4 linked regions of the Diceros bicornis minor genome follow. The protein of the gene in region 1 binds, or shares a complex with, the protein of each later gene. Links are inferred from orthologs where the notes say so. Each region holds a gene or a part of one and is shown on either strand. Other genes may lie near its edges. The genes, in order: NDUFAF1, TMEM126B, cytochrome c oxidase assembly factor 1 homolog and TMEM186.

Region 1 (7,808 bases):
AGTGGACCAAAAGCCTCAGTTCGCTCGGCTCTGGGATCTTTGCCGCTCTTCCCAGGCCTCCGCACCGGACCGGAACTCGAGTGTCCTATTGCCTGGTTTGGCGCCGGATGGCAAAGGCAGACGGACCTACACGGGAAAAGTGGAGAACCCGGTTAGGAAAAGCAGGGGACCCTGGCGGAAGCCTCTGTTGGGCGTCAGCCGGCTGTTGGTGCGTCCGGGAGTGGGGGGCCACAGAGCGCTAGCAGGTGAGGGTTGAGGGGCCGCCTGGCTGCGGCGCTGTCCCTTCTGTTTCCCGGACCCGAATCGGGAGCTAAACACCGGGGCTCTAGAGTTTTGCCACTTACTAGCTGTATGACCCCGGGTAATTTAATCTTGGGACCTCGGTCTCTATAATTGGAATAATAATAGTACCTCTCTCAGAGTTGTTGTGAGGGGTTAAAGAAAATGCACTTAGAACAGTTTCTGGCACATGCTGAGCCCTGGATATACAGTTTTTACTAAGACTAATGGCTTGTAGCTGCGTGGGTTACGTTGCCGTCAAAACTCGCTGTCAACTTTGGCCTGGCATCGTCCAGTGAATAGGTTTGACTTTATGTTTATTGGTAAAAATATGAAACAAAACATTTATAATGTTAGAGAAATAACAGCATTACTGAGGGTTTGGAAAATAGGGTGAATAATATTACTCATAATTCCATCAGCCTACACACGATTTTAAAGCCCTTTTTCTTTCCCCCCAAGTCTTTTTTGTCTGTACATTTTTATACTCCTAATGTTATAGTAAATGCCATTTTGATTCCTCCTTATATGCCACTTAGTAGTGTAGCCTAAGCATGGGGTTCACAAGAATCGTTTTTATGATTGTACAAATTCCACTTTATGGGCTTGTTTTCCGAATTCCTGTATATGTAGAGGTAAAATCATTTAAGCACAAGTGAGGGAAATTTAAATAGTACCTATGATTCTGGGACCACTGATCAACTATTTTTGTTTTTTCTGGTTCCCTTCTATTTTTAGTCCACGTGAAAACATATCGTTTACATGGTTTTCATTTATTTTCAGCAAACATTATTGAACATCAGTTATGTTCAAGCCATAGTCCCTAAGATTAAGGAGGTCAGGCTAGTTATGTAGACAGATAGAAGGCAAGAGTCTAAGGTTACGTAAGGGCTATGAACGTGTGCACAGGTTCTTATGAGACCATGGAAGGAGAGCAATGTCAGTGCCCTCCAGTCAGAACTGCCCTACAGTTCCCTCCAGGAACGTGCCTCTAGTTGAGCAAGTTGGGTTTATTACTCCTTGTAGTGAGGGAGAACACACACCATGGGACACCATGGGGCATCTCAGTAAGAGGATGTTGAAAGGGACTTATTATTAGATTTAGGCTTGTGTTAGGTGATTTTTGGGAAAGTAGTCAGGAGGTGGAGATAGTTCTACGATTAGTTATCTTAAATCTAATGTAGGAGGGAATCTTACCCATCTAGAGTGAGGCTAGTGCCATGGCTGGTTAGGATACAGCAGTCACTCATATTAGCCAGCATGGTAGAATGTTTGGTCACTTTTGTGGTTTGAACAATGTTTGTTTGTTTTTTTTTCCTGTGTTCAGATGTGATTATGGTTGGTCTTATTAGAGCTGAGGATATTGCCCATGGATATGAGGAGAAGTTAGGTCAGGGAATTGAGCACATTTTGGAGGGCCTTGTGTGCCATTTTAGGAGTTTGAATTTCTGGGGGGAATTGCTGAATTATTATAAGAGGAATGCCATCATATTTAGAAAAATCCCTTTTGTTGCCAGGCAAAGGATGGATTGGGAGAGGAGGGGGAGGTTAGAGTCAGGGGGATGAGTTAGGACTTTGCTATGTAAAGGCTGTCCCATGGGCCAAAACCAAGGGCATCACCTGGGAGCTTGTTAGAAATGCAGAATCTCAGGCCCGCCCCTATACCTACTAAATCAGAATCTGCATTTTAACCAAATTCCCAGATGACTCATAAGGACCCTCAAGTTTGAGAAGCCCTTTGTTAGGGGAATTACAGTATTCCTGGTAAGAAGCAATAAGGCCCTGAACCAAGACGCTGATGGCGGAGGTGGAGAAATGTGGAGATATTATTTATTCAACAAATATTAGAAGCCTCTTGCATGCCTGGCACCATACTGGGAGCTGGGAGTACCACAATGAAGATAGTCTCTCCCCTGAAGGCACTTCCAGCCTGGTGGGGGAGACTGACAAGTGAATTGGTCAGTAAATTGTAGCAGGGAAAGTGTAAACTCAGTGTGCAGTGAGAACACATCAGAGGGGCAACAGTCTTGTGGAGTTGTAGTCAAGGAAGGGTTCTTGGAGGAGGTAACGGATGTCTAAGCTGAGTCCCAAAGTATAAATTAGCTAGTCAAATTCAGTAGAGGGCGTTCTCCTAGGAGCAGCAATTGGCCAAGACCTGAAGCCCAGAGAGGTAGTACTGGGTGGTACCTGTTGGACTGCAAGTACTCTCTGTGATTGGAGCACAGAGTGGGGTATGACTAGAGGTGAGGTTGGAGAGATGAGCAGAGGCCAGATCTGGAGGAGTCTTGTAGACCCTGTGGAGAAAGTTGGGCTTTATTCTGAAGACTAAGAGAGCCTCTGAAGTGTTTTAATCAGAGAAGATAAATGATCATTTTGGTGTGTTAGGCCCTTCTAGATGCTGAGTGGTTGATGAGGTGGTGAGGATTACAAGCCTGGAGGCAGGAAGCAGAGTGCAGTGATCTAAGAGAGAGAAGGTATGACCCACCTGATGTGGGCAGTGAGGAAGGAGGGGCATTCTAGAAGGATGACCAGTCCTATGTTGTAGTTAGCCATTTTGATGTGGACTCAGGCAACTGAAGCAGGTGAGCTGGTTTGTTGGATTTTTGGCATTTCTGAGGCTTTTTTTTTTTAATGTTTTCACTGTTCCGTTTAGTGTCTCACTCAGCACCATGTTCTGACTAGTGGGTGAGTTTTTTTTGTTTGTTTGTTTTGTTTTTGTTTTTGTTTTTCAGGTTGAAGCACATTTAATCCTTTTTCTTCTCAAATTTTGAAAGTGAGCATTTGGACATTTGGTAATTGTTAGAGGTAGATTCTAATGTTTACAGTTTTTTTCTTTCTAATAGAGGAAGGAAGGCAATGTCTTCCTAGAGAATCCTAGGGTAATTATTGGCAGTTTATTACATGTTTGTTGCTCCAATGTTTAACCACTAGAAAGAGAAATATTCTGGTAGTAGTTAGATTATTGACATCAGGCAATTAGCAAAGAAAATATGGCTTTCTTATAAATCAGCTATTGTGGGTTTTTTCCTTCAGCTTCATTGAAATATAATTGACATTGTATAAGTTTAAGGTGCACCTCGTGTTGATTTGATGCACTTATGTGTATGATTACACCATATTATTAGCTGACACCTTAGTGGGTGAGTTTTTGGTTTTGTGTTTTCTCTTTTCTGGTCTCTGGGGCCGGGAGAGGAGAAAGGCAAATAAATTGGCCTTGGGTATTTTATTTCCCTTTAGAGGTAGCTGGAATAGATAGAAGAGGGGACTAGTCTAGCCTTCCTGATTCTGGCAGCACTTCCTGCCAGCACTCATTAAATGTTGCTGCTAGAAGCAAAGTTGTTATTTTATTAGAGCTATAGAAGTTATATTGCTAATGTTTTACATATAGATAGGCAGCAGCATCTAGTGGAAGGACATAAGGCCAGGGTTCTAGTTCTAACTTTGATACCAATTAGCAATGTGAGCTTAGGCAAGTCACTTTACCTGTTGGTGTCAGTTTCCTAGAAAAAGGAAATATCTAGTTGACTTGCCTTACAGGATCCTTATGTGGATTAAATGAGATAATATATGTCAGAGTGATATGAAAATATTAAGAATGATATTTAAAGATATGTTATGGTATTATTGCTACTATTGCTTAGGTTCTATCTTTGAGGAGCTTGAATAGTGACATAGTCAAAGCCTTGTTACTCAAAGTATGAGCCCTGGACTAGGACCTTGTTAGATGTGAAGAATCTTGGGGATCTTGTCAGACTTAATGGATCAGAGAGCCCTCATATAGTCATTATTCCATCTGATCTTCAGAAGAATCCCTTAAGGTACGTGGGGGAGGTGTTAACACAGTCTTACTCCCGAGGAAATGGAGGCCTCAAAAGATGAACTGCTTTAACTGAGGGTAAACAGGTTTATTACATTTAACCATGTGAAATTGCCAGTATTCACAATACTCGTAACCTAATAAGTGGGCAGAGCCAGGTGTCAAGTCCAAGTTTTCTGAGTCCGCATACAATGCTCACTGTAGTCCTTGTTTTTATGATGAAGTGCTGAAGTGTTAAGTCGGTTGGCTCAGGTCCTAGAGTGAATTAATTGTATATTTTATTTTAGGAACCAATTGTTTCTTTAAAAATCTAGCATAAAAATTTGCTTTAAGGTTGATAAAACCTCTTTAGGTAGCTTTCAGCACATATTGGAATAATTTTTGGGTTGATCGTTAGCTCTATGGACGGGCCTGTGTTTTTATTCGTCTTGGTATTTTTTTTCACACAGCAGTGGGATGCATTACATACAGTGCAAATAGTGCTCTGCTCATAATAGGGCCTGGGTAAATATTTATAGAATTAGAAAATAAATTCATGAATTTCATAATACATTATCCGTGTTGAATTTGAAATTGTGGTGCATTCATTGCTGTACTGGTAACTCTTCAACGTCTTTTCTGTTATAGGTGGAACTGGGCTATTTGCTTCTTTCCGTGGTAGCCCAGTGAGAAATTTACATTTTGACTTGCTCTCACCATGGCTTTGGTTCACAAATTGCTGAATGGCGCTTATATTCTCAGAAAATGCCTGAAGCTGAGTGTTGCATCATATCCACTTTGGGGTAGTCGCTTTGCAGACTATTGTTCCAGTAGTCTTCAGAAACCAGTGGCTGTTTCTGGCAAAGCTTCCTCTCAGAGGAAGACTGAAGGGGATTTGCAAGGACATCACCAGAGAGATGTTGCTTTGGATATAACTTCTCCTGAGGAGAAGCCTGAAGTTAGTTTTGATAAAGCAATTAAAGATGAGATAAAGGACCATTTTTCACGTTTGAAGGATGATATTGTGAATCATTGGATAGGGCCTGAAGGCCGCCCTCTGCATGAGGTCTTCCTGGAACAAGCCAAGGTTGTCTGGAAGTTCCGTGGAAAAGAAGATTTGGATAAGTGGATAGTGACTTCTGATAAGACAATTGGAGGCAGAAGTGAAGTGTTCCTGAAAATGGGCAAGAATAACCAAAGTGCACTACTGTATGGGACTCTGAGCTCTGAGGCGCCTCAGGATGGGGAGAGTGGCCGCAGTGGGTACTGTGCAATGATATCCAGGATTCCAAGGGTAGGTGAGGCCCAGCAGCCTCAGTTTTCTAGTGAACTGGGGTGAACTTCATTGTAGCATGAACTATAGCAGACAGCTTTTGTTTCTGTAAATGAAAACACCTGGTATCTCTTCTGTGTATGGGGTTAAATAACTACTGGGCACAAGTGTAAAGCGGAAGCACAAGGAGGAAATGGTTCTAGAGGAGGAGTTTCTTGTTTCTGGGCATCACCTTGGGCCAAGGTGGGACATTCTTATGTTTGAGGAGCCCTGAGAGGTTAGACATTTGAAAGATGATCTGGGGAGATTCACATCTCCTCTAACGTAGACCATAGAACCCATAATGTCCAGGGGTTCCTTAGAGTGGATGTAGGGTCAGCTTGTGGCTTTTTTTTTTAAGTAAACTTAATTTTAGAAGTTTTAGATTTACAGAAAAATTGCAAAGATAGTACAGAGAGTTCCTGTATGCACCTCACCCAGCTTCTCCAGTTGTTAACTTCTTACATTACTATAGTCCATTTGTCCCAACTAAGAAACCAACATTGGTACACTACTATTAGATAAATTCCAGACTGTATTGGATTTCACTAGTTTTTCCACTAATATCCTTTTTCTATTCCAGAATACCACATTACATCTAGTCATGTCTCCTTAATCTCCTCTGGTCTGTGACAGTTTCCTGGTATTTCCTTATTTTTCTTGAGGATTTGAGAAATACTGGTCAGGTATTTTGTAGAATGACCCTCAGTTTGGGATTTTCTGATGTTTTTTTGTCCTGGTTAGGCTGGGGTTCTGGGTTTTTAGGAAGAATACTACAGAGTTGAAGTACTCTTCTCATCACATCATATCAGGGGTCATGCTAGCAACATGACTTATCACTATTGTGTTAACCTTGATCACCTGGTCAAGGTAGTGTTCCAGGTTACCATTGTTAAGTTACTTGTTTTTCTCTCCTTTCCATACTCTGTTCTTTGGAAGAACACCCTACATTGAATGTGAGTGGTGGGGCATGGGTTTAAGCTCTATCTCCTGGAAGTAGTGGTGTTCACATAAATTATTTGGGATTCTTCAGTAAAGGTTTGTTTCTTCTCCCACACTTATTTATTTATTCAGTCATTTAGTATGAACTCACACTTTGGATTATAATTCAATACTATGTTATTTATTTTGTTGTTCAAATTGTTCCAGCTTTGGCCATTGGGCGCTCTTTCAGGTTGGTTCCTATCCCTTTGATATGCCCCCACCCTTTTGTGTTTTGAGCACTCTTTGGAACTATAAGATGCTCTAAGCTCATCTTGTATTTTCCCTGTTCCAACCCTAGAATTAACCATTTCTCAAAGGAGCCCTGGTTCCTTTTTTTGGATAATGGTATTAGAAACCAAGATCTGGGTGCTGAGTATGCTTGTTGCTACTGGGTTGCCACTACTTCTAGGCGCTCTCAGTGGACACAGCTGGGAAATATATGTATGCATACCAACGTGTGGAAACACACTTGTCTATAATTTCTATATTTATATTAACCTAAATATGAGTTCATACTGATGGTCTGACTAATCTAGTACCATATGATTCATTCTAGCCTTCCCCCTCTTATCTGTAACTTCTCTCTAACAGTGAGAAACCTGTCTCCCATCATTTACCATCCGTTTACTTATTAATTATACTAAATAAGTAACATTACTTATACATGTAAAGCACTTTTGGAATTTTTAACCCATAACTCTGAGAGAAATAACTTTACCAACTAGAGTACAATGTTGACATATAGTTCGTTTTATCTGTAGCGTTACAGTTTCCAGTCAGAACACTATTTTCCAAAGTTACTTAGGTCAGCTCTTTTGTCTTCACTACCAGTCTATGGCTTTTTGCAAATTTGCCCACCAGGCTTTGTTTCAGGGTGGGCTGGACAGGCTCCCGTGCCTGGCCTTGGCCACAGCCCCTGATGTTTGCTTGGATATTGTGCTTTAAGGAGAAAGGCAAATGTTAGGAGTAGTCTGAGGCTCCCTCTCTCCGGATAATGATGAAAAAGAAAAGTATGTGTTCTTTCAGAGGCAACAAACTTTGCATACAAAATTTTTTTCTGGCACTGAAAATCCACAAAATGGATTTGGTCAGTCCACAGTAGAAAATAATTGTGGCTAGTTACCTACTTTGGAGTAATGAAAATAGTTGATAACATTTATTAAATGTACCCTGCCAGTCCTTGTGCTAATTACTTTATATACATTATCCCTTTTATTCCTCACAACAATCTTGTAAGGTATGATCATCCCAATTGTACAGATGAGGAAACTGAGTCTTGGGGAGATTTAGTAACTTGTCCAAAGTTACACAGCTAGTAAATAATAGTTCATATCTGAGCACTGGTATTCTTGAAATCAGAATACCTCTGAGATTGCTATAAACACCTTTGGAAACTAACACTAAATCCCACTTTCAAAGAGAGAGAGAGACAGTATA
Region 2 (7,665 bases), on another chromosome or scaffold:
GAAGAAAGAAAAAAGATTCAAGGGCCGGTCCTGTGGCTTAGCGGTTAAGTGCTCACACTCCGCTGCTGGCGGCCGGGGTTCAGATCCCGGGCGCACACCGACACACCGCTTCTCCGGCCATGCTGAGGCCGCGTCCCACATACAGCAACTAGAAGGATGTGCGACTATGACGTACAACTATCTACTGGGGCTTTGGGGGGAAAAAAATAAATAAATAAAATCTTTAAAAAGAAAAAAGATTCGGGGCCGGCCCGGTGGCGCAAGCGGTTAAGTGCGCGCGATCCGCTGCGGCGGCCCGGGGTTCGCTGGTTCGGATCCCGGGCGTGCACCGACGCACTGCTTGGTAAGCCATGCTGTGGCGGCGTCCCATATAAAGTGGAGGAAGATGGGCACGGATGTTAGCCCAGGGCCGTCTTCCTCAGCAAAAAAAGAGGAGGATTGGCGGATGTTAGCTCAGGGCTGATCTCCTCACAAAAAAAAAAAAAAAAAAAAAGAAAAAAGATTCAAGATGACAGAGGACAGTGCAGAATAAATCTAGGTTATACTTTAAAATATTTGTTTTACTTATATTTTAGAAACAGTATAGATAGTAAGCTTAACCAGTTAAAAATATAATGCACAGGTCATAACTTGTTTGGCTAGTTGTCTATAATATTCAAAAATATATATCTTAATACTAATAGTTTTAAGCTATTAAAAAAAGATAAACTACTTCTCTAGGTAAATTACATAATGCATATATCTTAGTATAATCCACATATATACATGTTTTGCTAATTAGAACTGATTGATTCCTTAAAAAATTTGATCCATTACTATCAAACCATTGTCAAAGAAGAAAGAAAGAAGAGGAGGGAGGGAAGAGGAGAGGAAAGAGAGGGAGGGAAAAAGGAAGGGAGGGAGAGAGAAAGGAAGAAAGGAAAGAAGGAAGAGAGGGAGGGGGAAGGAAGGAAATAAATATCAAATTATTTCTCATAAAGTAAGATTTTCAATAACGTATCAGCAATTTTCCTTTAAAGGTAGGAACTTTTAATAAACTCAGTCTATTGGGTTTAGAAACCTTAAGTTCACTCTGCTTAGTTAAGTTATACCTAGAACATCAATTGCCCTTCCTCCTCCTCCTTCCCAGATACCTTTTTATGCCTTTCTCTGTCTCTCCCCCTCCCTCTCTCCTTTCTCTCTCCCCCTCTTCTCTTCTTTCTCTCTCTCTTTCTCTCACACATACACACACACACAGACATAAAGCGTTTAATTCAATTAGTAGTCTAAAATAAAGTAGTCCAAAAGGGACACTGTGTACAGAACAATAAATGGTAGACAGAGTAAAAACACACAGCAAGCTAAATAAGTCAAAGAGCCATATCTTTTATTTGCTACATTCCCAAAACCACTCTTGTTCCAGATAAACCAATTGTGTCAGGTCTGGACAGGTGTGGCTCCAAAATCTCATAGTTTACTTCTCTCAGTGATATTATGGGGGAGAGCAGAAGGAAACAATCCCAGTCTTAAATCCCAGTGTATAAAGGGACAGTTCTAGGTGTTTCAAAAGTTTTATATATCATTGCTCATCTCTACAGATACCAGTTGGGATAAAGCATCTCACTGATTATAAGTTTCTTCAATGCACCTTTCAAATCCACAGGTAGAAGGATTAAACATCATGCAGAACCAGGTTGCACTTTAACCTTCACCCTGGGCTTTAGTCTCAGACTGCAGCAACTCATATAACTAGTCAACATTTGGATCTATGCTAGCCCAGTACAGTAGAGTTCAAAGGTGTTCATATAAATTTTGGTTCAAAACTCTCAAGAAAACTCTTTATAGTTGATCTGATCTTCCATACAACGTCAAAAAAACCAAACCTGTTTCACTAGGATCCTTAAGAACAAAGTTCACCTTGGTAGATCTAGGCTAAAGTGAATCCTCAAGATCTGACCTATAATAAACTATACCTCAGGAACCCACTGGATTTTGATCAATTCGGGGTGGGGGGGTGGGTTGGGCGCAGAGTGTCAGGTGTTTGCTTCATTTTGGGAACTTGCCAATCATGTTATTGGATAATGCATGCATCTGAAAAGCACAACAGTTACCAAAGTTGTGCTTTTTCACAAAAGTGAAGATTTACACTAGTGTAAACCCAAATACTAAATCTATTTTTTAATCAAAAGATAAATAATAAGTCTATAATTTTTTTCAGTGCAAACAACTTTACTATCTTTTACAACTATGTAATTTGCTTGATAAATATTAAATCCATGAGGAAGAACTCTACTGTACAAGTTTTTTAAAGATTCTTTAAAGTAACCTTTAACAAGCTAAGAAAACAAGCTAAAGAAAAATCAAAACCTGTGGTATCAAATCTACGCTGATTATAAATGGTGATTTAGACAACCTGATTTATGAAATCACAAATGTCTGTAATTAAATACTATAGTCCTACTTCATTTCACTTTAGCAAAATAATATTACTGAATGATGTATCACTGAAAAGACATTATTACAGTAAATATTTCCCCAAACTCAAACAAAATTTTACTCTCAAATGGAATACAATTTAAATTGCGAATACCAGAATGAAGAACATGAAGAAACATATACTATACAGGAAGCCTCATAGCCCACCTTTCTTTTTGACTGGCATTCTTGGGTCTTTGCACTGCCACAGGATTCAAGATCTCTTTTCAGGTCTCAACTTGATCCAGCTGGATTGAGGCCAAGAGCCAGGTAACTGTTGCAAATTACTTTACTGTTCAGTTTTGAAATCCAGGCTGTCTTCTCTTTCACATAAAGAAAAAAAGACGTATATTTTCCACAGTTAAACTTTTGACACTGCCCACACAGTTTAGAGAAAAATAACTTTTGAGTTTTTCAATTTTTATAAAATATTTGTTCTATTTAAAAAAAAAGCTGAGAAAATTATTGTAAGCATAGAAAACGTTATTAAAACTCCCCTTCAGGCAGCAACATTTTTGGAGTTCAGTGACTAACTCAATTAAGGCACAAACCAAATTTACACAGCTGTCTCATTACTCTATATATGATCAAATTCAAAGATGAACCGCTTGACGATAAAGATTCTCAATTCTTTAGAGAAAATTTTAAACCCCCTCCAAAAAAAAAATACTTAAAAAATCTCTTTGACTCTGGTCTCTAAAAAGGTGGGTGAGTTTGAACAGTTTTCTGGGGCAGAACAGAGACTGAAAGGCCCCTTTCTATTTACTGGACCATAAGTTCCGGATCATCCCCTCAGTAAGACAGAATCCAGCTTGCTGTCACTTCCATTTTTTTCTTCTGTGCTCTCCAAGCCCCTCAGGCTTTATCCTTAAAGCCCCTCTGATTCTGATCCTCCCATGTATTAACCGAGAGGATTGAAAAGAGGAAAGCAATCCCTTGGCATGGAGACATTAAAGTGACAGTGCTACTCAATGGGCACTTGATGCAGGATGAGTTGGCGAAGTAGATTTCTTCACACTGGAGTCATTCACATCATGCCATCTCTTCGCATCCAAGCAGCTCCCTATCCGGCGAGGAAAAACACTGAGACTGTTCGCGAGGAGAAGTCAAACCTTCCCCCAAAGGTGTTTTCTGAGACGCTGTAGTAGTATTAGGCATGTAAGCATAAGCTGTGCAAACGGTTCGCGATTTCCTAAACGAGAGAGTTCGGCTGCTTGGCTTCCACATCCACCCTTTTTCTCAATCTCTCTCCAAACTACCCACCTTCCTTTTGCGGAAAAGACACGAAATCTCTCTGCCACCGCTGGCCACCCCTGCCCACACCCCGCTCTTATACAGAAGAGCAGTGAAATGTCCTGCACCCTCCACGCGACGAAGTGTTTCCTCAGGCAGGAGGAACAGCAGCACTAGAAATTATATAACTCTCGAATTTGGCTTCTCTAAGACATGGAGACTGGAGGGTCGGGGGTTGCTGGTCTGGGAGATACTGCTGGGCAATGAACGTGCACAAAAGGGCGCCAGGCCTCCTCGCAGCGTCCCCCACCCCGAAACACCGGCTGGCAAGGAGGTCTTCTCGGAGAGTGGGGGGCAAACTTCTCTCCAGTCCCTTTCCAAGCAGGGTGAAAGGGTGGAATGTGAGAGGACTCAAGACTGGGGAGAGGAGTCAGGCGGCTGCGAGGGGAGGAGGCTAGTCGGGGCTGTGCTGACGGCCGGCTGGGGGCTCTGGGGAGGAGGTGTCCGAGAAGCTGGAGTCTTAACACACGGACCAGGCCAGAGGGGCCAGCTCCCTCGAGGAGCGAAAGGGGCAGGCAGCTCGGCCGCAGCCAACGGAGGTGCCCTGAGGGGAGGACAGCGCGAAGCAACACCCCCACGCTCGGAACGCCCCACATTCCCCTCAGGGTGGGAGAAGAGCGAGCTAGGCGAACAAACAGCAAGGGAAGGGAACGCAGGGCTGGCGAGGAGGGGCGGGCCCACGGGCGACTGGACCTCCTCGAAGCCAATGAGCGGCAGTAATTTCAGGACGCCGAGCCCAATCACAGCCAGGATGGAGGGCGCGGCTTTTGACTGGGTCGGGGCGGGCCCCGGCTGCAGGAGAGACGCGTGAGCCGGCACCACTTCCCACCCTGGGCGTTCTGGGTTCCCGCCCACCCGCAAGTCACGTGAGCCGCCAAAATGGCGGCGCTGGGGCGTGAGGCTGGGGCTGACCTGAGGGACGCAGGTGTGCAGGTGGGAGCTGGGGGAGCGCCCAAGGTAGGCAAAAACCGGGAGTTCTGTGGGCAGTGATTTCTGCAGCCTCAAAGTGTTGGCAGACTCTTCTGAAATGAGGCATGTAAAAGGGATTTGAAAATCTAAAGAGACCAGCTCCCACATCCATGCAGGTCGTACTTAATTTAGTCCTCAGTTGCTATGGAAAGAGGCAAAGAGAAAGTAGGAGACCTCAAATCTAGTCCTGGTAGCTTGCAGCTTGTTTTCTCTTGCCTCCGAGCGTCTGCACTGGCCTTTGCTTCAACTTGAAATACCTCCCTGCACCTGTGCCTCCCCACCCCACCTCCGCCAAATTCTCCTCTTTCGGATATTCGTTTAAATGTCCCCTCCTCCAGAAAACCTTCCCACACTTCCCCTGGCTAGGTTATGTTTGGCTTTTCTTATGTTTTTTGTTTTGTTTTGATGGCACACTCATCCTGCGTTTAAATTGCCTGCCTTTCTAGTCCTGACTTCCGGCTGGGTTGTGGGTTCGTGAGGATCTTGATTATGGGTGCGGGGGTGGGGGCTGTGGGAGGGGCTGTCAAATACCATGTGCTCCGTAAATGATGAGTGAATGTCGAATAAAATTCTGAAAGTCAAGTGAAATAATATGAATAAAAGCACTACAAAACCGTAAAATGCTTTGTAAACTATAAACCTACATAAATGCACTCTTACTGGTACAATCGTGGTGACCAGTTGAGTGGCCTTAGACTAGTTAATTTTTAGATAAAATGTTGGTTATAGCAAAATCTTTACATTTCAGTACTTGTTAACAATCTATCAGAAAGTGACCAGTTACTTTCTCTGCTTTATTAACAATGCTTTGCAAAGACTAGGCACTCGATAAATATTTGCTGTCGTGTTTCAGTATTTTGAGATCATAATCCTGAGTGTCTGTGTTCCCTAGATACTGAGGCTGTAGACAAGGTAGGAGGTTGGTACAAGGCATTGCCTGAAAGTTTTCTTTGTGGGGAGTAAGGGACTTCAATGAATGGGATGATTGCAAAACAAAAATTTGTCCAAGGTTTCTGGTTATCATGTTACTGACATCTGCCTTCGTGGTACGTTAGATAGATTAGATATAGAATCTCCCTTAGATATTACTATCACTTCTCTTCCATTTTCCATTTAAATGTCAGAGAGAGAAAAAAGATTAAACCTAGTCCCTGAGAAATTGTAATTTGTAACATTTTTTTTTTTCCTGTCCTCCTCAGATATGTTAGGGAAAGAGAACTGGCTTGAGTACAGTTCTACAATGTTGCAGGGGAAGAAACTGGTCCATTATTATTCATAATGTAATACCATATGAAGTTTCAAAGGAACTCATACCTTTAGGATGTTGATGCCATGGATGAATTGGCCTTTTGTTAGTTAGGATTAGGATTGGTACATATCACTTATTTAGCAAATGAGTATTACAGTGATGTTCACCATGGGTCCATTGACTGCCAGCATCAGAATCACTTGGTGTTACTAAAATGTAGATTTCTAGGCTTCACCCTACTCCTCTTGAATACACATATCTCAGGAGGGAGCTGAAGAGACTGCATTTCAAATAAACTCCCCATGTGATTCTTGTGCACACTAAAGGTTGAGAATCACTGATTTATTAAGTATCTTCTCGGTTTATTTTGCTTACTCTACTCTATTCTCTTGCCCAAGACTTCTGAAATTTGAGATTTAATCCATGCCCTTAACTATAAAGGTTGTTAAAATGGAGACTGGTATAAAATGTGAAGGGCCAGAGATTTTGTTATTCGTTCATTGGCTAATCTGGAATCCCATTGATGGCAGCATAGTAAAAGATTTAACAAATGTTATTTTTAAGACTTTTCACAGAGATCTGAGAATCTTACCCAGAGCAAAAGATTCAGAAAAGATCCTTTCTGAGGATCCAGGTTTTTTTTTTTTTTTTTTTACCACTGGTTTCTGGTAAGAAGCTACTAGCCAAACCCTTATGGTCCCTTGACATTGGCAACTGTCTGTTCATACATCACACTTGGGACACAGGAACCTTCCAACCCTGGAGCCCAGTGCCATGTGTCCAGGCTCCGTGGTATACCAAATAGCAATTTCCAGCAAAGGCCCTGCTTCTGCCCAAGGTGCTGCTAGAGAGCTGGATATATAACTTATATGATCCAAAGTAGCCATGATCCACTATGTCTTCCTGGCCTGGAAGAGTGTCCCTCCTTCTGGTGTTCTCTCTTGCTGTTCTCTAAGGCAATCCCCGCTCTCTCCTGCCGTTCCAGGAAACTCAACATAATCTCCAAAATGAGCTCAGGCTTTCATGAGACAGAGGATAGAGATAGTTGTCAACAAGTAGCTACTGTTTCCTTCCAGCTCTGAAAAAGCTACAGCAAGGAGAACTAAAACAAAGGGCCTGGGTACCTTCAGGGAAAACTGTAAGGAAAACAAAAACTCAGTATTTCAATAAGTTATCCTTCTACACTAAGTCCTAAGGCAAGTCACCCTTTCTGAGCCTCATTTTTCTCATCTATAAAAGTAGAGATGATCATTATCCTACTAGTTTCTCAAAGTTATTGTGTGAATCAAAAAGCGATTGTCTAGCAGATCGTAAGAGCTCACTAAATGTTGACTGAATCATTAACAAAGTGTGTGAAAGCAGATGACAGTTACCTGACACATTACTGGGGTCTAAATGTTTTTTAATCTGAATCTGTAGAATTTTTAAGATTTAATATTAATATCGTTAGCTATTATGGTTCTGGAATTTTGTGTTTTCCAGGACATCAGGATGGCAACATACACACATGGTCAGCCCAGTCCTTCTCTAGGAGATGCAAAACTCAGAAGACCAATGGTCATCGAAATCATAGAAAAAAAATTTGAATATCTTAGAAAAGAAAAGTAAGAGACACCCCCAGACTGAAAGTCAATAACTTTTATTTGCAGATCTTCTGTATTGCCATTGTTTCTGAGTATCTAAGATCCTATTAACTTTAT
Region 3 (7,883 bases), on another chromosome or scaffold:
TATAGCTTTCCTCAAAATGTTTCTCAAAATGTTCAGAGATCCTAAAAATATCTCAATTACCACTACATTTAAACCAATGAAATGAGAAAAACAAATATCAAAATAATAGGATTTTATAAAACTAGTATTCCCAGCATGCCCCAATCAATATAGAACCAGCATAGTTATAGTCAAGTTCTGCACAGAAAAAAATCTTCTAATAAACTTCTGCCAGCATGAAATAAGCACCTACTATTCGATGACCACTGTCCAACATGGTTCACACAAACCTAATGCAGTATATTAAACATAAATAAGGGAATAACTTCTAGGAGTCTATTTGAAACAGAAAATTAAATGAACCAACAAAGCTGAAGCAGGTTACACATATTTTTCAAGGCAGAGAGATAGGGAGGCACCAGTGTCTGAAACAATGAACACTATAAAGTTAAATACGGTACCAGGGACTCAGACATCACACAACCAGGGAACTACTATGTCAGTTTCTATAAGTCCTGCAATTTGAGAATAATATCCCAAACTACCACCCAGAAGCCTCTTAAAGGAAAAGATTGTGAGTCCTGTCTACACAAAAATGTAAAACATTAGCATAGCAAAAGATATAAAACAAAGTTAACAGGCAAATAGACTGAAAATATCTGCCACATATCTAACAGTCAGTGGGTTAACATCTCTACCACAGAACTCCTACAAATCAATAAGGAAAAGACAAAACTCAATAGGGAATAGATTATAAACTATTTCCCCCTGCTTTGTTTTTCAAATCTTAAAATGCTGCTCACAGCTTCTTCACAGCATTTTTTCCGGGGCCTGGTCCTCCACTCATTGAAGTTGTTATTCAACTCACTCTCTGAACTACCCCCACAGAGCTATAACATGGTCTCCAGGAAGACTAAAAATTAACCTTATGTGCTCTTCATTTAAAGGAACTATAGCATAATCTACAAGACCAACATATATCTGATAAGAGACTTGTATCTAGAATATATAAAGAACACTTACAATTCAACAATGAAAAGACAACCTAACTTAAAAATCAGCAAAGGATATGAATAGACGTTTCTCCAAAGACGATAAACAAATGGCTCACAGCACATGAAAACATGCTCAACATCATTAGCTATCAGAGAAATGCAAATCAAAACCACAATGAGATATACTTCACACCCACTAGGATGGGTGGAATTAAAAAAACAGATAATGACAAGTGTTGGCGAGGATGTGAAGAAATCAGAACCGTCATAGACTGCTGATGGGAATATAAAATGGTGCAGCCGCTTTAGAAAACAGTCTGGCAGTTCCTCAAAACGTTAAACATAAGAGTTACCATATGACTCAGCAATTCTACTCTTAAGTATACACCCAAGAGAAATGAAAACATGCTGTTCACACAAAAACTTGTACATGAATGTTCATAGCAGCATTATGACAGCCAAAACAACTCCAATGTCCATCAGCTGACCAATGGATAAATAAATAGTGGTATATCCACACAATGAAATATCACCTAGCAAAAAAAAAGGAATGTACCGATACTACAACATGAATAAACATAAATGTTAAGTGAAAGAAAACAATCAAAAAAAACCACATACCCTATCATTTCATTTATATGGATTGTCCAGAATATGCAAATATATAGACAGTAGATTAGTACAGTAGTTGCACAGGGCTAGGAGTAGGGTTGAGTAGACGGGAAATCAGAAGAGACTGCTAATGGGTACAGGGTTTTCTTTTTGGGGTGACGAAAATGTTTTGAAATTGATTGTGGTGATGGCTATACAACTTCGTAAGTGTACTAAAAATCAATATATTTTAAATGAGTAAATTCTATGGTATGCGAACTACACCTCAATTAAGCTATTTTTTAAAAGGACTGTAGATTGTGACTTTTTTTCCCGTTATATCCCCAGCTCCTAAAACACTGCCTAGCAATATCAGGAATTCAATAAATTCTGACTAAATGGAAAAATAAATTTCAAAATGTGAGCAAACCATTATAAAACCTCGTCATATTCAAAGTCATGAAATTACTGCAGGTTGGCAAGGCGGGAGCATACAGTACGTATCTATAACCGTGTTTTTCATAAAAGGAGATGAGACTGAAAAACTCAGTAGAAGCAAGACCTTGAAGGGTCTTGATGCCAGGCTAAGAAATTCGTATTATCCTGAATCAACGGGAGGACCAATAAGACTTTGAGAAGAATAACACAATCAGATCTGTGTTTTAAATGTGCAAAGTGTAAGTGGTGTTGCTATTCTGTCCAAAGCTGAAGTAGAGCAATAGCCCTCAGGTGAGAACGGGGAGGAGCTGGGGGAAGAAATGAGAAGCAAATGTCAAAATGTAAGAATCTTTATGGGTTTCTTAAATCACACAGCACACCGCGCGCGCGCGCGCGCGCGCACGCACACACACACACACACACACACACACACACACGCCCCGTCACCCACACTGAAAATCACTTGTATGGTCAGCCTCTGTATGGAGCTCAAGTTCGATGGGGACAAAAACTATTATGACCACTGCGCCAGAAAATTCTCTCGCACAGTCATCTGGGCAGGGTCCTCCTCAGAGAGTCGTGATTCAGGACTACCAACAGAGCGCCACTGTCGCCTCTCCGGGAGGACCCCGACTCTTCACAAACGGGCTCTTGGCACGCCCAGGAAGGACCGCAGGGCGAGGCGACGGTCAGCTGCGCACGGCCTCACAGCTCCAAGGGGACGGGCGCCTTGCAGCGTCTCAAGGCGCGGAGCCCACCACGGGCCCCCAGGCGCCATCCACGCAGCCCAGGGAGGTCGCGAGCCGCCGGGAGGTGACCCCTGAGGGGGCTGCCCTTGCAGCAGCCCGCCCGCCGCGCAAACGCGGCCGCCCGGACTGCGGGAACCAGCGCTTCTGGCGGTAGGAGAGGCGCGCACCCCTCTCGCGCATCCCAGGCCGAGGGGCGAAGGCTGACCTGTCAGGGACACAGGCACCACGCGGCAGGAAGCAGACGGGCTCCTTCCGGATGTGGGCAGTGGGTGGGCAGAGCCGCGGGTGGGCGCGCCCCGCGGGGAGCAGTCGAGACTTCCGGCGTCGCCGCCTCGCGGGGCTAGAGCGTCGGGATGGCTGGCGCCCGAAGGCCCGCGAGCGGCTGGGCGCGGGCTGGGACGGCCTGGGCTGTGTGGCTTAGCTTCCTAGACGCTCGGATTTGCGTCGGGAACGGGTTCGTCTCCTCAGATCCCCGCTTTTTGTTTTATACGTCCCGTTAGCCCCCAACACACATATGCAGTCCGGGAGCGCTGGCCGAGGAAGTTTAAAGCCCTGGTTCCTATTGCTCCCCGCAGAGATCTGACGCTTCGGCTCTCCCGCGAGGACGCGAAGCCACGGGGATCTGAGCCCCACGCTGGCGGTGAAATCCACCTTGCCCTATTCGGCTGAGAAATTTGGCAACGCTCAATTTTCTTTTATTCACCAAATATTTATGAAATGCCTACTGTGCTCCAGGGAATGCAAGGGTAAGAAAAAACTAATGGTCTCTGTTTTCATGGAGTTTAGTAGTAAAATAGATAATGATAGAATCCTACAATGGATAATGATAGTACCTCATAGATTTCTTGTGAGGGTGTAAAGCACTTAGAATCGTCTGGCACTTTGTAAGTGCTCAATAAGCGTTAGCTGTTATTTTCATCTTGACCGTTCCATTGCCATCATCACCACTGTTTTCATCATCATTTACATTTTCAATGTGAAGCTTAGAGTCCAAGTACCTTTCTTCCACAAAGCAATGAGTCTCACGATTGATGGGTCACCTAAATGTGATGTGTTCATACACATCATAACCATAACTCCAGGGTGATGGAGTTATGGTTACCGCATAACCATAGCCAGACTATTCAAGTTTAGTCTAAGGCTGTGGTCTTCAAACTCTTGATCACACCTCCCTATCAGAAATAAAATTAGATTATATACGCGTACTATGTATGGTATTGATATATATTATGCATACTATAAAATTTTCACAAGAAATAGAACTTTAGAAAGGTGAAATAAAAATATTAATAGAAGTTCTGTTTTCTGCCCATGCAACAAATAGGTTGCCATACATACATGCCATCACTTTGGAGTCCACTGGCTAAAAGAGCACATTATCAAAGAGGCCTGTCATTAAATTATGGATCCCCAGAATAGTTCTTTTATGAAGAATTAATAGAAACTAATCAGATTTTAAGGTGCTTGAACTATAAGGACTATTTGAATGGTTCCTTACATCAGAGGAAATGAAGAAATAAAATAGGCATCCATTGATTAATCTTCATTGATCTGACATTGATTATTGACTTCTTAAAACCCAAAGAGATTAAGATTGCAATGTCTGGGGCCAGCCCAGTGGCGCAAGCGGTTAAGTGCGCGCACTCCGCTGCGGCGTCCCAGGGTTCACCGGTTCGGATCCCGAGCATGCACCAATGCACTGCTTGGCAAGCCATGCTTTGGTGGCATCCCATATAAAGTAGGGGAAGATGGGCACGGATGTTAGCCGAGGGCCAGTCTTCCTCAGCAAAAAAAGAGGAGGATTGGCAGATGTTAGCACAGGGCTAATATCTTCCTCACAAAAAAAAAAGATTGCAATGTCTTACACCAAGCTTGAGATTTCATATAATAAATCAAGTAACAAAAACCTTATGAGGTTTTGTATATGTGTATTTTATACAGTATTTGTGAAAATGAACCCTGGATCACTTAGCTCCTATACCATACCAGAAAGAGAAACATGATTACTTTGTAAAAAGAAAGCATAAAATAGGCTTTTCTGACCATTTGCTTGAAAACTCAGAATTTACCTTTCTATCACTGGACTTACATCTACTAAAGTTTTGATCTAAATTTTAATATGGTTTAATAGTTTATAGTTAATGTTGGTATGTATCTGATATTTATTCTCCTCTTACTCCTTTGTTACGAAACCCACATCTTGTTCAGATAGCCACCCTATTCCCAGCACTATAAAATGATACTGATTAAATCTAAACCAATCACCATACAGAATTCCTCTAGGAATAGTTGTTGGTCAAGGGATGAGCAAGTGCCTCAAGTTAGCTCAATCAAAGCTGATGCTGAGGACAGCTGAACAAAGTGATAGAAATATTATTCCAAGCCTGGAGCTCACCCTCTTTATGAACTTCTTGTAGGGATATCTGATGTTTCCTTCTTGTTTTCTGATAGAGATAGTGTGAAGATTAAATGAGTTAAAATAGTGCTGGTAATGTTTTAAACGTTCAAAATGTTAGTTATTATTGTTAAGTCAGCTTGAGACAAGGATTCTGTTTCTTATAGTCAAAAGTATCCTATCTGATTCATACCTCTCTCTCTTTTCTTTTTATTTATTTATTTATTTTTTTGTGTGTGAGGAAGATCAGCCCTGAGCTAACATCCGTGCTAATCCTCCTCTTTTTGCTGAGGAAGACCGGCTCTGAGCTAACATCTATTGCCAATCCGCCTCCTTTTTTTCTTCCCCAAAGCCCCAGTAGATAGTTGTGTGTCATAGTTGCACATCCTTCTAGTTGCTGTATGTGGGATGCGGCCTCAGCATGGCTGGACAAGCAGTGCATCGGTGCATGCCCGGGATCTGAACCTGGGCCACCAGTAGCGTAGCGTGCACACTTAACCGCTAAGCCACGGGGCTGGCCCTGTCTCTCTCTTTTTTATATATTTAAGGAAAGAATCTGTTTCACTACCTCTTAACTTCTAAGGAGCCAGGGCAGGGGTAGGAGGTGGAAAGAGGAGGAGTGTTGGCTATAATGCTGTCTATGAGGGGTACTGTTAAGTGGTGAGATGGCCACTTTGAGAAATGCACTCAACAATGGCAGGATCCAATACAGCATATCCAGTATTTCAGCAGCAGCCTGGAACTATCAAATCTGAATGGAGTTACTACACATGGTAGTTGTTTATATACGTGGACATATCATTTTCTGCATATTAATATTTTACTCTGCTACCTTACTAAGTTACCTTATTGTTTGGAGTTGATTCTTTTATATTTTCTAGGATTGCAATCATATCATTGAAATAGTGATAGTTTTACCTAATCCTTCCAAATTTTATACAGTCATACATCGCTTACTGACAGGTATACATTCTGAGTGTACTTACACAAACCTAGATGGTATAGCCTACTACACACCTAGGCTATATGGTACTAACCTTACAGGACCCCCATCATATATGCAGTCCGTCGTTGACCGCGAAACCTCATTATGTGTTGCATGATGTTGGGGAAGAGGGAGAATGCCTCCCCACCCTTTCCTTTAAGGTTCTTATGGCTGGCCAAATAATTAAAAATGCAGGCTAGCAGGAGAAAATCAAACAAAGTTTAAGAACATGTATACATGGGAGAAACTCAGAAAATAGAAACTGAGCAACTCGTGCTTCTGACTAAGCTGCTCACTTAAGTATTTTCAGCTAAAGGCAGGGAGGTTGTTGGGGGTAGTGGTTTGGGATTTCAGAGGGGAAGAAGACAATTCACATGGAGATGGAAATGCAAATGTTTGTCAGGCAGATCTTTACAGGGCCACCTATAGAGAATGTGGCTGGAGAGACAGAATTTTTGATAAGATGGGCTTGTTGGTGCCTTTCTTATCGCATTTATTTTACATTATATACTACAGCCATCATATGGTAGTGGCTCCTTCCTGTAACAGGCATTCTACATTAAATTCTTTAGGCAGTTTGGGAGGGGAAGCTCAAATGTTCTCCTGCATCTTCTGAGCCTTTATTGTCTTATTATGTCGAAATAATCCACATACCAGAGTGGCACATCTTCGGGCGGCTTGCCCTGAACACCATCAATGACTGTACTTCTAATTTCTCATATCTAATTGCATTGGATAGTATTTCCAGCAAAAAATATTTAATAATAGTGAAGACAGTGGGCTTCCTTGTCTTATTCCTACCTTTAATGGGATATCTCTAGAATTTTCCCATTTAGCATGCTGCTAGTTTAGGGGACTGAGGTAGATATCTATTATCATGTTAAGGAAGTATCCAGCTATTGAGAGAATAGGGAAAAATTTGACACAGAGGCTTTGAGAAAACAAAGCATTGAGCATGCCATTGCATCTTGTCATAAAACTAAATGTAAATTAGACAATATTTGCCTCAAAGACACTAATAAAATTAACATTAACTAAGTGGGATGAATGTTCTTTCTTACTTATCTTACGTACTATCATCATGAAATTGAGTCCTGACTAGTTCGTTTACAAGAAATTCCCTTGTGATATCCTGATTTTTAACCCTGGAAAAGTTTTTTGTTATCTCTTATAAAATGTCACCTTTAATCCAAAGTCTATGCTTGTTCTACATGTTTGTTACAGGAAATTGCATGGATCTACTGTAGTTTTATAGGAAATTGTAACAGTTCAAATATGCTGGTTGTAGAAAATAGGGACAGTTATAATGATAAGGAGGTTACGTCATCACGAAGATATAAAAATCCCAAAAAGGAGAGAAGTTAGAGAGGAAGAAGACCAAATTCTGTGTATGAATTGCCCATATTTCTGGCTGACACCTGAAACACACACATGTGGAGCAGACTTTTGAGCTATCTGAGGCTCAAAAACTGAAGAGAGACATCAGCTGCTGCCCACCACAGGTGAGACTGGCAGAATGAAAAGAGAAATAGACAAATCCACAGTTATAGTTGGATCTGTCAACACTTCTCTCAGAAATTAGCAGAAGTTCTAGATAAAAATTTAGTAAAGGGCTGGCCCCATGGCTTAGTGGTTTAGTGCGCGCGCTCTGCGGCTGGCAGCCCGGGTTTGTATCCCAGGCGCGCACTGTCGCACTGCTTCTCCGGCCATGCTGAGGCTGCGTCCCACATAACATCAACTAGAAGGATGTG
Region 4 (7,110 bases), on another chromosome or scaffold:
TCGTAGCAGCATCATTCACCATAGCCAAAAGGTGGAAACAATCAAAATGTCCATCAACAGATGACTGGATAAACAAAAGGTGGTATATACATATATTATTCAGCCATAAAAAAGGAATGAAGTTCTGATACCTGCTACCACATGGATGAACCCGGAAAACATTATGCCAAGTGAAAGAAGCCAGACACAAAAGGCCACACAGTGTAGGATTCCATTTATATGAAATGTCCAGAATAGGCCAATCCATAGAGACAGAAAGCAGATTAGTGGTTGCCAAGGGCTGAGGGAGGGGGAACGAGGAGTTCCTGTTTAATGGGTTCAAGAGTTTCTATTTGAGAGGATGAAAAAGTTCTGGAAATGGATAAAGGTGATGGTTTCACAACACTGTGAATGTACTTAATACCACTGAATTATACACTTAGAAATGGTTAAAAGGATAAATTTAAGTTACGTATATTATCCTACAATAAAAAAAGGACAGGAAGGCTACACAACATTTAGTCATTGACTTTTGAGTGGCAGAATTATAATGATCATGTCTTCCTTCCTCTTTACTCTATTACAAATTGTATAATAAACATATATTACTAATTATGGGGGGCAATGCATATAACTGGCTTTAGTTTATAAAATAATGCCCCAGCATATAGTTCATCTGACTTTATCACACTGCAGATGCAAGCCCCTAGACCCCTGGGTGGTGAACACAGTCCTAGCAAGGGGGCTGTGCTCGTGTAGACAACATCCCTGCCCCAGCCACTGTGCAGTTACTGTCCTGGCAAGATGTGATGACCCACCTCTAGGCTTCCTCCCAGTCCCTTCCTTCTGCCCCCGGGCCCACGAAGGGGCACAGCACAGAGCTCGAAAAATCCCTACCAAATGCCTAGAAGCCTTTCACTGCCCCATCTCCCCTGGATTAATGGTTCACGTTTGCTCCTGGCTGTTGAGTTTGGAAAGCCCTTGACATGTATTTGTTCTCGCACTCATCGCATAGACAGGCAGGATTTTCCATTGTACAGATCTGAAAACAGAGGTTCAGAGAGACTCAACAACCTGCCCGAGGACAGGGAGTTGAGGACAGGGAGTCTTCCAACTCCCAATCCTGTGCTCCCCGCCACACCTCTCTGACTTCCGACCTCACAGCAGTTACTGTCTGAGTGAATCTGGCATAGCTTCCCCCAAGAACTGGCTCTTAACAGAAACTCCTGGCCATTACCTGTTTGAATGTCACACACAAGTGCAGTAAGTATTCTCACGAAGGGCCTCTTTCCTAAACCCAGTTACTAGCTTCTGCCTGTGAATTTTCCGCATCCCAAAAGACAAGTCCCCAGAGGCCTTGGCAAAGTCTCCAGCTGGCCGGTCCCCTTCTTCAGCCTCACTCACACCCTCGGCCTTCCCATGGGAGATCCAGGTGGCCCAGGGTGACCCAGAGGCCCGGCTCCCAGCTGTTCACTTGAGCGTGTCCAGCATCCCAAACACCTGCATGAAACGCTCCCTGTCCAGGATGCGGCCGTAGCGCAGGGTGAGGTAGAAGGTCTGCTTCCCGCTGTACTGCTGAATACGCACGAACAGCTCCTGGGGCCGGTCCTTGGTTTCCGTCATGGGGACCACGTCGGCCACGGGGCAATACGTGTCCTGTCGCCAGCCCCAGAAGGTCAGGTGAGCCACCCGCAGCACGGTGCCTGACTCGTTCACGTACAGGATGCCCACCAGCCTCCGGAAGAAATAACTCATCCAGCACAGCATGGCCAGGGCAAAGCCAGCGATCCCGCCCACGAGGCACAGGGAGTTGAAAGTCATGAGGCCCTGGGAGTACCAGTAGAGGCCAGGAGGCAGGGCCACCACCGTCAGGGCCGTCTGTGCCACCTTCAGCTGAGACAAGTACCCGAAGGCTCTGATGGCATCAAATCGGTAGACCATCTGGAATTTCTCTGTCTCTGTGCCTGGTGGCTTCTCCTTGGAGGCGGGCGACTTGTTCCCCACCCACCTCCTAGGATCCTGCCCACTGCAGCACCATAGCCGGTAGAGAGGCCTTCCCCACGCCGCTGGCCCTGGCAACCGCGGCACAACCCGGAGGAGGGCAGCCTGCAAGGGAGACAGGAGACCATTTCTCTCATAGAACTCAACCATGCTAATCACACAATGGACATCTGCAAAGCATCTTACACCAAGGCTCCCGACCATCTTGTGAGGTCGCCATTATTGCCAGAGACAGAGAGAAAGGGAAAGCCAGATGCTGTACCTCATGTGATCTTCATGCAAGCTGCGCAAGACAAGCATCCCTCCTTCCACATTACCACCGAGAAGCCCAGAGAAGGCAAGAAATTTACCCAGACACACAGCCAGCGAGTGGGGCAGGGTCTGATTCAAACAGATCCTCTTTCCTCTAGGCAGTTCAAGGAGATTCATTCGTCAAACACCCAGGGAGGGCCAACTCTGGGCCAGGCGCTGGAAGCATAAGGCTGTGCGAACATTTACCCAAGCAGGAAGCTAAACAATCAATGTTCTGGTGGGGAACAAATCCAAGAGATATGCATCCTAACAACTTCCCAATTCTCTGTCAGGGGAAAGCGTCATCTTGGGTGCTGAAGGGAAATGCTGTGTTCTTAGCCTAGTTAGGGGGAGGGGGAAGAACGAGGGAGGAGGGAGGGATGAGGCCCAAGGATTTTATTAGACGCACAGTTCTACACCTTGACTAGTGCAGGGAAAGATGCCTTGGGTTTTCGGGCCAGATCTGGGTTCTCGTCCTGGCTCCTGCAGTCACCAGCTACGGGTCCTTGGGCAAGTTACTCCTCCTCTGTGGGCCTCAGTTTCTCCATCTTTCAAATGGGGATTCGGAACACGCTGACTGAGGTAATGCTTTTAAAGTCCTCAAATGCACTTGATGGACTTGCACGGTGCGCACTCAGTCACATTTAATTACCGCTGTTGCTGGCCCACGTGACCTGAGCGCAGAGGAAGCCGGGCGATTGCAAATCGTAACCCACCCCGGAAGTATCCGCCGCGGATTCTCCGCATCGGAACCCCAGGCGTCTGCCTGCCTCCCCCAGCCCTGACTCCGACCCCAAAACCAGGTCACCTCCCTGAGTTCCCAGCACTCGCCTTCTTACCATGGGCCAGCTTCCTGCTGCCGGAAGTGAATCCCATCTTCCCCCGGAAACTTTAAGAGCGCATGCTCGGCCGTAGTAGGCCAGCTCTGGGGCGCGTTGCACTCTGGGATTTGTGGTCCGGCGAGACTAGCTGACGTTAGTCCCAGGCATTGTGGGAGCGGATTCTCCTCCTCCCGGCGTGCCCTGCGACACGGGGGCCGAACCCGGAAGTTCCGGGCCGAGTTCCCAGTGCCAACGAGTCAAGTCGCGTGTGAGGCAAAGTCTGGACATGGCGGCTCCTGGGCCAGCGCTCTGCCTCTTCGACGTGGACGGCACCCTGACGCCACCACGGCAGGTAGGCGGCGCCCGGCGGGCGGGCAGCAGCCAGTGCAGAGCCCCCTGCTGCTCCTATGCGGGACGAACGGCCGCCCGGGGTGGGCGTCGAGGGGCGTCCAAGAACCGCCTCCCTGCTGTGGCGGGGCTAAACTCGCTTCTGGGTGCCCTGGAGGGATGCGACGGAACCCCAGCCAGCTCTTCAAGACCTCAGGCTGCTCGGAGAGATGGGACGGGGCCGAAAAACTCTTGAGAGCAAGAAGTTTGTATTGGGTTGGGAAACGCAATTCTGGACTCGCACCGCAAGCCCGGGTCGACTATGGGCTGTGCCTTGTAGCCTGATAGGAAAAGCATGTTTCTAAGGCAAACAGACCTAGTAGAGGCTCAGCTTTACCTCTGGACAGCTGTGTGACCTTCAGCAAGTAGCTTAACCCCAGGGCCTCAGCATCCACAGCTTTAAATGGGGACATTACGTGTTACATATGGTGATTGTGAAGGTCGAATGAAGTCAAATAAGTTCATGAAAGTATCTTGCATACGGTAGGCCGTGTTCGGTGATATCCAATAAATATTATCCGCCGCCACCACCCCCTCCTCCAGCCTCTGCAGTGGACTAGGGTTATGGAGGAGACCTAGATTGTTACAGGCTGCCTGCTGAGAGCCCCCTTGGACCCATGGAAACGTGCTTCCCACTTCCAAATTTTGCTGCTACGGGCACGGATAGGTTTGAGTTAAGATCAGCATTTGTGTTCAAGCTTGCTCTGGCCTCCCCGTTGCACAAATTGGTCACTGAACACCAGCCATTTGAACTTGAGAGTGGGCCCAAATGGCCTCACTATCTTCAAGTTCTGTCCCTGCCACCCTTAGTTTTGGCTAGGTGGTAGTAGTGGCATGCTCCAGAATTCCACGTCGACTGTGTGACCCTAACCATATCATTTTATCTTTGTGAGCCGCAGGTTTGATTTACCTAGTGATGATACTCAACTGCAAGTTCTCGAAAGGCCCTTTTTGACTTTTTTTTTTTTTTTTTTGCCGACAAGGCTTTGTTTTTTCTTTTAGACATTCCGTCCCCAGTAGATAGTTGTATGCCATAGTTGCACATTCTTATAGATAACCGCTAAGCCACGGGGCTGGCCTCTTTTTGACTCTTGAGATTCAGTGATCAAGACACACTAGGGAGTTGTTAAAAGCCCATAGTGGTCTAGAGCAGAAGTCAGCAGTTCATGGTTTGTAAAGAGCCAGATGGCAAATACTTTTGTCTTTGCTGACCATATGGTCTGTCGTAACTAATGCGACTTTAATGCAAAAGTAGCCATAGACCATATGTAGACACAGCGTGGCTGTGTTCCAGTAGAAGTTTGTTTTATTTACTTATTACAAAAACAGCCAGCTGCTCAATTTGGCCTGTTGGCCATAATGGTCTGCAGGGTACATTCCAAGCTTCTTTACATTATGTCATTGGACCCTCTCAACCTTTCTCCCTCCTTCATCCCGGGTAGAATAGTTGTTACTACGTTTTAAATGTAAGGAAACTGAGACCCTGTGAAACCATGACCTTCTCGATTTCACACAGCAGATCTGGTACAAGTCTCTGGGCTTCGGGGCATTGTTATTTGTTAAATTTGTCATTTTCTGCCACTGTTCTAAGGTGGAAGCTGTTCTGATTGTTGGGTATGTAATTTAGGAAATGCTTCTGATTCCCAGAAGGAATCAGGATATATAAGCATAAAGTATGAAATAGTAAAGAAACCAGGCAACCCATTGGACTCCGTTAAAACCCGTTATTCCCTTAAAGCATTTTTTTTTCTTTTTTAGTGAGGAAGATCAGCCCTGAGCTGACATCCATGCTAATCCTCCTTCCCCGCCCCCCCCCCCCAAAGTCCCAGTAGATAGTTGTATGTCATAGTTGCACATCCTTCTAGTTGCTGTATGTGGAATCCGGCCTCAGCATGGCCGGAGAAGCGGTGCGTCGGTGCACGCCCGGGATCCGAACCTGGGCTGCCAGTAGCAGAGCACACACACTTAACCGCTAAGCCACGGGGCCGGCCCCGCATTAAAACATTTTAAACATTATATTCTTTGCAGTGAACATAAATAATTTTTACACTCAAAAAAAAATTCTGTAGTTTAAGAGAGAATTGTTTCTGTGTGCTGTAGGTAAAAAATAAAAATTATTTTAGCAACAAATCTATTCATTATGCAACCTTTCTCTTTCTCAATACATGCATTCTCAAACATTGGTAAGCAGAATACAATCCAGAAGCAGAAGAATAGGTTATCTTTTCTTGCAGCTGCTGAAAGAGGATATGACCTAAACAGGTAAAATCTAATTAAAATCTTTGCACATTTCACTGTTTTAGTAGAATTTTGTTGTGCTGAGTACTTTCCTGAGAAATGCCATTCCATCTAAAAACAATCGAGACTTGGAAGAAAAGCCTGCAAAAAGAAGAGGGGCATAAAGCTAGGTGAATTGTTTTCCAACTTTCCATCATGAAAAATTTCAAACATACAGAATCACTGAAAAAATAGTGCCCAGAACAGCCATATCCCTACCACTTAAATTCAACGATGGTTGATATTAACGTTATCTCTTTTTTTTTTAATCTTTGCTGTACCACTTCCTAAGCTGCAGTCATCACAGTTCTTTACCCCTAAATATTTGAGCCTGCATCTCTCGAGGACAACGTCTGTCGTAACCACAGTATCATCATCACACCTAAGAAAACTATCGCCAGTTCTCTCGTGTTAATACCCCAGTCCAAGGGCCAGCAAACTCTTTTCTGTAAAAAGCCAGATAGTAAGTAGTTGAGGCTTCACAGGCCGTGTGCTCTCTGTCACGACTGCTCAGCTCTGTTGTAGCCGCGGACACTGCATAAGTGAGTGGACGTGGCTGTGCTGCAGTCGTCCTTCACAGAGACAGGCAGGGGCCAGTTCTGGCCCACAGGCCTTATTTTGCTGACGCTTCCTCTACTCCAGTCAGGTTTCCTTAATTGTCCCAAAAAAGCCTTTTATAATTTTTTTTTCACCTTAATTTCAAGCTTTTGGATCTTTCTCTGTGTTTTATTTTGTCTGGGTGATTTATAAAGAATTCCTTGTAATTATCAGCATAAGAGGTATTTGGGAACATCACGACAATTTTGCTATGTGGTTATTTTGCCCTAAAGATCTCTCCTGCAGTGGGATGTAGTTTAGATGCTCTGTTGTGATCACAAGCAGCTGGGTCTCATTTCCTGTCCAGAAGTATGTGCTGCCACTTGGGTGCCTTCTACAACCCATTCACATGTGGAACAGGTCTGATGGCCGACCACAGTACCATCCAGCTCACTAGTGTGCATCAGGGTTGAGAGAGAATAAATGGTACGCTTAGGGTTCCGTTTGAAGATGGAGGTATTGCCTTTGTTGTTGTTATTGTTAGTACTGGACTTTTAATATTTTGCAATCAAAGGAGTCTTCCCCATTTCCTCTCCGTCTGATGTCAGGTCTGCGTAAACCACTTGGGCAACTCGGGGACCTGTTGTCACAGTCGTTGACTCATAGAGGCCCCTAGTGCAATTCCAGATTTTGTCTGCTAGGTCGAGATTCCACCGGAAGGTGTAGAAAAGATTGCATTCTGTTATAAGCCCTTGTGTACAATTTTATTTTATTAATCATATGTATGTATTACTGTAAAAAAACTTTTTTACAAAAA

The links.
Region 2: NDUFAF1 (region 1) and TMEM126B share a complex: the UniProt entries of both Homo sapiens proteins name them as parts of the mitochondrial complex. The link is inferred for Diceros bicornis minor from reciprocal best matches to the Homo sapiens genes NDUFAF1 and TMEM126B.
Region 3: NDUFAF1 (region 1) and cytochrome c oxidase assembly factor 1 homolog share a complex: the UniProt entries of both Homo sapiens proteins name them as parts of the mitochondrial complex. The link is inferred for Diceros bicornis minor from reciprocal best matches to the Homo sapiens genes NDUFAF1 and COA1.
Region 4: NDUFAF1 (region 1) and TMEM186 share a complex: the UniProt entries of both Homo sapiens proteins name them as parts of the mitochondrial complex. The link is inferred for Diceros bicornis minor from reciprocal best matches to the Homo sapiens genes NDUFAF1 and TMEM186.

The regions. Positions count from the first base shown.
Region 1 is NC_080744.1:39,107,444-39,115,251, reverse strand, and holds the start of NDUFAF1 (complex I intermediate-associated protein 30, mitochondrial), read left to right. Parts: upstream 1-4,719; 5' UTR 4,720-4,793; coding exon 4,794-5,369; intron 5,370-7,808. UniProt on the Homo sapiens protein: As part of the MCIA complex, involved in the assembly of the mitochondrial complex I.
Region 2 is NC_080746.1:46,900,956-46,908,620, reverse strand, and holds the start of TMEM126B (complex I assembly factor TMEM126B, mitochondrial), read left to right. Parts: upstream 1-4,604; 5' UTR 4,605-4,626; coding exon 4,627-4,704; intron 4,705-7,447; coding exon 7,448-7,569; intron 7,570-7,665. Other genes in the region: DLG2 (disks large homolog 2), read right to left, coding at 2,623-2,641. UniProt on the Homo sapiens protein: As part of the MCIA complex, involved in the assembly of the mitochondrial complex I. Participates in constructing the membrane arm of complex I.
Region 3 is NC_080780.1:901,172-909,054, forward strand, and holds the start of cytochrome c oxidase assembly factor 1 homolog, read right to left. Parts: upstream 3,031-7,883; 5' UTR 2,958-3,030; intron 1-2,957. Other genes in the region: BLVRA (biliverdin reductase A), read left to right, coding at 3,465-3,498. UniProt on the Homo sapiens protein: Component of the MITRAC (mitochondrial translation regulation assembly intermediate of cytochrome c oxidase complex) complex, that regulates cytochrome c oxidase assembly.
Region 4 is NC_080765.1:40,623,040-40,630,149, reverse strand, and holds TMEM186 (transmembrane protein 186), read right to left. Parts: upstream 3,052-7,110; 5' UTR 2,185-3,051; coding exon 1,450-2,184; 3' UTR 198-1,449; downstream 1-197. Other genes in the region: PMM2 (phosphomannomutase 2), read left to right, coding at 3,379-3,444. UniProt on the Homo sapiens protein: As part of the MCIA complex, required for efficient assembly of the mitochondrial complex I.